2 linked regions of the Saccharomyces cerevisiae S288C genome follow. The gene in region 2 interacts genetically with the main gene of each other region. Each region holds a gene or a part of one and is shown on either strand. Other genes may lie near its edges.

Region 1 (3,615 bases), on a different chromosome or scaffold from region 2:
GGTACTATTCAAGATGTTTTTGAAAACGGTGTTCTACAAAACAACGAAGAGTTCTATGTGACTACTGGTTTATTCTCTGGTAACACCGATACTAAATACTACTGGAATTTGTCCAAGAACATTTATAGGTTTGTTGGCTCTATCATTGATATTGATTTACTGAAGACATTGCATTCGGTTAATGAACACGTGGATGTCCCAGGTCATTTATCTGCCATTGCCTTTGTTTACGAGTATATCGTTAATGTTAACGAATACGCTTAAGCGCAATGATTGAATAGTCAAAGATTTTTTTTTTTTAATTTTTTTTTTTTAATTTTTTTTTTTTTTCATAGAACTTTTTATTTAAATAAATCACGTCTATATATGTATCAGTATAACGTAAAAAAAAAAACACCGTCAGTTAAACAAAACATAAATAAAAAAAAAAAGAAGTGTCAAATCAAGTGTCAAATCAAAATTTAAATGATGATGATAATATGACCATACAATGACTTAAATCAAATCAAAACCACTTGCGTAAAGGCAGTGAATATGGCCAAAATATAATACCATACACCGTTTTGCATCTTCGTTAAAGCAACACCATTCGACTTCGAGGTGGTCGAAGGCGCAGTAGCAGAAATGCTCATCAATTGAGAAGAATAGGTTTCGTTTTCTGGAATTGCAGCCAATAAATCGTTAACAGTATCAGCAGAAACAGTTCCATTGAATGGAGTGGCATCAGATATGAAAGAAACGACATTTCCACTAGAATCGAAAACAACACCACCTTTCATCGTTCCAGTAGTATTTCTTGTTATGTATCCGTAAGATTGGATACCAGTACCCAAATCCTCGATACCTTGGAAAGTGTGGAAAGTAGAATAGAGATGGTTTTTCTCCGTACCATTCATAGCTTCAAAAATATCGTATTCCCCACATCCACTAGCCCAACATGAACAGTTGGCATTGGTTGGATATTGAGAAGTCCTTGCAATGTGATCGTTTAGCAACCAAATAGCAGGCAAGTCATAGTACCCAATAGAGCTGCTATTTTTCTCAGTTTCAGTAGGCATTTCGAATTCAAACAAAAACATCTTTGTTGTACCTCCGTACCCATAGTAAGCTGGAATGCCACTACGGTAAACCCCACAACCCTTATCATAACCTGATTTTGGACATGAGACATTCGAATAGATTATGTATTCTTGATCTGAAGAAATCAAAGTGCCATCTGCCAAAACGGTAGCTTCACTGGCGCTGCCAGTACCGTTAGAACTAGCGTAGGACAAAGCATTTCCTAAACAAGGGGAAGCTTCACCTCCATGATTTAGAAAGGTAACGTTATCAGCGGTTTTGGAACTGGACTCATAGTAGGCAAGACGGTTCCAATCAGAAGAACTTCTGCTGTTGTTGACGGTAAATCCAGGGGATGTGTAAAAAGCAAATTGTTTCAACTTCAATGGTCCACGGAAATGAACGGATAAATAGTCTGCTAGTGGAGCGTTCTTACCACTAAACCATACTCTGTCACCCACTTCGCAAGTACACGATTCATTGTTGGTGATATCTTTAAACTTATTCACATCTACGTAGGAGCCTGTAAAACCAACATTAGTGAAATCCAACTTTTGGTACGACTGAGGTCCACTGGCAGCGACTGTGTGCAACATAAACATGCACACGGAAAGGACTATACTCTGTAACATTTGTCTTATTTAAGCTTGTAATGTTTGCACTTGAGTATGTTCTATTATGGCTGCTTCCTTCGATAAGGATTGTTTCTCGAGGATTTTCAGGTTTATAAATAACCTAAGCTCGGCAAAATAGACAAAAGAAAAGGGCGGAGCCAAGACTTTGAAAAAAAAAAATGGAAAAAGGAACCCTTGCAGATACAGCAAAAATGGGAAATGGAGGCTGTGGAAAAGAAAGAGGCTGATATCATTTTCTGTCTTTAGATCTACCTAACGGCTTTTCTTACATAGGAGAACTACAAATATTATGAGTATAGAATCGATGAGGAGGCCAAGCAAAGACCGTAAATTCCAGTCGCGGAAGGTCTTACGTAATAAATCGTGCGACTCCAGCACATCGTGGGCTACCTTCTTCAAAAACGCGTAACGATATTTTTTCAAGGTGTCATTCTCGTCCTCGACTTGTTCCGTGTTCACGTTTAGGAAAGACGACGGCATACCGTCTTTGCTCTCGTAATATTCTTCGCTGTTGCTATCACTGAAATTCTGCATGACGCGAATCTCTTGGAGGACTTCTTCCTTTATGGGTATCACCGTTCTTTTAGTTATGGCTTCATATTCATAAAATCCTGGGTATTCGTCTTCTTGCAAGTCGTGGAATTCCAATTCATGTGGTTGCCAATACTGTAAGAACCACCAGGCTAAAAGATTCACCAACCAGAAAACGGGGCACAAGATTCCAAAAACAAAAAACCTTGGCAGCCAAGGTTGGACAGGCACACTCATTTTACATGATTTGCATTGGCAACAGTATTTTTTCATCCAAGGGTTCTCATCGTTCTCGAAGGGCGCGGCTAGATGTTTTGTTTTATGCTCAATACTTGATGCTAAAGTAGTCATGTTTCTTGTCGTCATTCTTTGAATTTTTGTAGTCCTATGTACAAGCACAATATAAATGACAGACTAGTCAACGACGCTGACCCTTTATATGTTCCCCGTATATTCCTTGTTTTCATTGCAGTTAACATGTAAATTTCCCGATGCGGTAATTACGTTTCAAAGTCATTTCAACACTTCTATTGACAGCAAAAAAATAAAGACACTTGAAACGCACGATTTTTTCAAGAATAATATCTGTCGAGAAGATGTGTCACATTACCTATCATTACAGTGCTACTGATAGCCCACTAATGCGGATATTTAAATATATGCACCAAAAATGTATAAAGAAATAAACGGTAAAGACAAAAAAAATTACTTATTACAAATCGCAATTACAATTAAAGTACAAGACTTCCTTTGGGACAGAAAACGTGAAACAAGCCCCAAATATGCATGTCTGGTTAATTATGATGATGTTGAAGGTGGAGGAGAAGACATCCTTGTTGATGCTGATGATAATGCCAACGCCTTTTTTTGCTTCTTCTTGAGGATAATCTTATCCATGTATGAATTTATGAATTCTTTAACTTTATGCCTTTTTCCTTTGGTTAAGTCATCAGGCGGCGCTCTTGAAGAATCTTTTTTAAGTTCCTTTGTAGTTAGGATTTTCACGATGTCTTTAGCACATTGTTTAATGTTTTCATGATCAAATTGTTTACTTTGTGGGTTTTTTTTTATTAAGTTGGGTACAAAAGATGCAAAGAATTTATTCCAGTTGTGCTCTAGTCTTTGGGACTGGGAGACCGTTTTTCTTTTCAACCGCTTAGCCTCTTTTGCTTCCACTAGTTTTTTGGCCTCTTCCTTTTGTAACTCCTTCTGTTTGTTGGCCTCCGCTATAATATCCTCCAAAACGCTTTTTCTTTCATTCTCAAGCTTTAGCTTTTGCTTCAGGCTTTCCAATTCTTCTTGTTTGGCTCTTTCTAGCGCAATTCTTTCGTATTCCAGTCTTTTTTGTTTCTTCCTCTCATATTCTTCGTCACTCAGCTTATGTTTCTTA
Region 2 (2,931 bases):
ACTCTTAATTTGGGCCCATCTTTTGAAAATATTGTCTCTGCAAAAGCTTCGAACACCATTTTGGATCCTCTGGAGAAGGCAAGACAGAATGCAGAGGAAGCTAAGAAATTACCTTGTTAGCTTAAGGTTCCTGTTCCTAAGGGTAGCGGTCACCACAAATGGAAAAGCGACTTTCCCAATGTAATTATTTTTGTTTGTTCCGCAAGTATCTAACAATATGATATATTGCTAGTTGAAAATCGAACACTCGAGTTACTTCCGTGATAGTTTAATGGTCAGAATGGGCGCTTGTCGCGTGCCAGATCGGGGTTCAATTCCCCGTCGCGGAGATATTTTTTATCATCACAAAAATAAGATAGCAAAACTGAAGAAACGATGAGTTAGTTTTAACTTTTAAAAGATCGTCCAATATTAACATAAAGGAACCCAGTTCTTTGGAAATAACAGGAAAGTGCAGAAAGTTCATTAGAAATCAACGATGATCTGATATACATATATATATATATATATATATATATATATAAAGGTTATTAATAGCCTTCGAACAACTCATCTATCTGTGCGATGACGTTAATATGAAGTATTTCTCCTTTTCTTGTTACTAGTGAACCCTTTTTAAACATTTCAGGTTCATTATTGTAGTTTATCCCACATTCAGAAAATAGTATTTCCTGTTTCTCATTACTAAATGTTCCACATAGTTTCTTCTCGGATTCCTGGGGAGTTAAGCCACACTTTATTATTAACTGCCAAAACGTCGTATTATAAAGATTGTTTATATGTGTATCGACATATCTCCAGGATAAATAATCTTTTATCGTTTGTAAATTAGGGTATGCTACACACCTTGAATCGAAATATGGCAAATGCTTGATATTCAACGGCTTTTCTGGGAAAAACTTGGCCCATAATGCGACGTAATTGGACGTGAAAAAAGAACCAAATAAAGTCGCAAGCTTGTCTTTCCTTCTGTTAAATAAAGTTGTACTTGACTTCAAAATAAATGAGTATTCGTCACTCTCCCCGAACGCCAATATAATATCATTTTTGTACTTGAGGACAAGGTTCTTAGCACATGCATTCATTAACTTCAAAGCATTTTCATCGTTTGGCTTGGCAAACTCGTAGAACTTGGAAAATTCATGAAACTTCTTGCCGTCTATTCTTACCACAATATAACACTGAGGCAAAATAACATCGTGTGTTTCAAATTGCCTTACGTATCCAAATTTAGAGTTTGCCATCCCGCTCGCATTAGGAAGTAGAATCTTTGAACATTAAGGCACATGACTGGCTATGAGCCCTTTAAGTTTTTCTCTATCCGCATGTCTTCAATTAATTCTCCATCAGTGATTTTTAAAACAATAAAAACTTTCAATCCGGGTAAAACTGAAGAATATAGAGCGAAAAAAGCGTATGTGCAGGACAAGGGATACTTACGCCAAAAAAGACCATGTCCATTTTATTATAGGATACCCACTTGCACGGCGTCAAAGTACTCAATTGGCTGTGCTTCTTCAAAAAAACTAACATACACAAGAACCAAATTTAAATTCAACTTGGTTACCCAAAGAGAGAATTCATTATAGAAAGATATAAAAATTTTGTAGAAAAAAAACAACAACGTTGGAAATGGCGAAGACTATCAAAGTTATCAGGAAGAAGGACCCCAAAAAGAAGAACCTATCCGATCCTTTAGCAAAACAAAAACTAGTTTGGAAAATCGGACACGTTTTAACTTTAGTTTTTGGTTTATTATTTTCTATCACGTATTTCTACCATGTCCTAATCTTCTTCAAATATCGTTCCTGGAAGTGGTTGTTCTTAAGGGTCAATAAAAATTACTCGTTTATTCAAAGTAAGAGATGGTACATGAAACTTTTGAGTTGGAGCCCACAGGTAATGTACCGTTTGTCATTAATTGGCGTATTTATGTCTGAGTCCGTCACAATGCAACAGAACTGGGTTGGACTTAACCCTACTTGGAATGACCTTTTGTCCTCTGAGAACTTTCATACCCTTTTGATTGCCTGTTTATGGTTCTTTGGTGGTGGTAAGTCTTTTTACAAGATTTTGCCTTACATGATTTTAAGTTATCTACACCTAACTAAAATGAACTACGAATTGAATGCTAACAAAGAAGAAAAGATCCCTTTAACACCCAAAGACAGAAAAATGCTACACTTACTTGCGTACTCTGAATTACTTGTTATCTTAGCGCTAACACTAGACACTATATTGTTTAAGACGGGTACATCCGGATTTATGCTCGTCATTTATGTTGGTATTTATTGGTTGAGGTTGAACTTCTCTCCATACGCACAAGTGGCTGTTTTGGAGTTACTTGTCAAGTTTGAAAAATACGTCCCCAAAAAATATAGAGACAAATGGCAGGTTATAAAGAACTTTATTTATATGAAAATGAAGGAGCACGAAAAGAGAACAGAAGAAGTTGCCAGATACGCGTAAGAAATTCTCTAACTTAAGATGACCAGATGTCATGTTCGTTTACTTATTTTCCTCTCCTCTTACCTTTTTTGGCCACTAACGCTCGTACAGAAATGGACGGCATACATACAATTTAATCAATTCTCTTAAATACCGTTTTATACCTCATTTCTGACTTTTCAGCCGTTAATGTTCCTTTTTTTTTTAGACTATTGTATGTATCACTTCCTGAATGATGTCTTCCATAACACAAACGTGACGTGCAAATAAACATACATAAAAATATTATTGAAAATACAGATTATTTAAAATTATATAACCCGTTCCCTGTTTATTCAGAAGCAGTAGCTCTGGTGTAGATAGCTTGCTTGGAGTGCTTGGAGATTGGCTTGATGATACCTTCCTTTTCCAAGTGTCTCAAAGCAATTCTAGCTAAAGAACCACCAATCTTTAATCTGTCGACCAAAACAGAGACAGAAACGT

What was found.
Region 1: mutations in THG1 (region 2) and TOH1 together harm fitness less than expected from each alone (positive genetic interaction), as found in Saccharomyces cerevisiae (one large-scale study listed by BioGRID).

What each region holds. Positions count from the first base shown.
Region 1 is NC_001142.9:99,204-102,818, forward strand, and holds TOH1 (Toh1p), read right to left. Parts: upstream 1,692-3,615; coding exon 501-1,691; downstream 1-500. Other genes in the region: CPS1 (Gly-Xaa carboxypeptidase), read left to right, coding at 1-264; ASG7 (Asg7p), read right to left, coding at 1,947-2,576; histone methyltransferase SET2, read right to left, coding at 3,024-3,615. UniProt on the Saccharomyces cerevisiae protein: Probable circularly permuted 1,3-beta-glucanase involved in cell wall modification through beta-1,3-glucan network alterations such as increased branching or remodeling.
Region 2 is NC_001139.9:531,353-534,283, forward strand, and holds THG1 (tRNA guanylyltransferase), read right to left. Parts: upstream 1,245-2,931; coding exon 531-1,244; downstream 1-530. Other genes in the region: YGR025W (uncharacterized protein), read left to right, coding at 1,287-1,589; YGR026W (uncharacterized protein), read left to right, coding at 1,633-2,469; 40S ribosomal protein eS25 RPS25A, read right to left, coding at 2,780-2,931. UniProt on the Saccharomyces cerevisiae protein: Acts as a tRNA(His) guanylyltransferase that catalyzes 3'-5' addition of a single guanosine residue to the -1 position of tRNA(His), to form a non-Watson-Crick G(-1):A-73 base pair.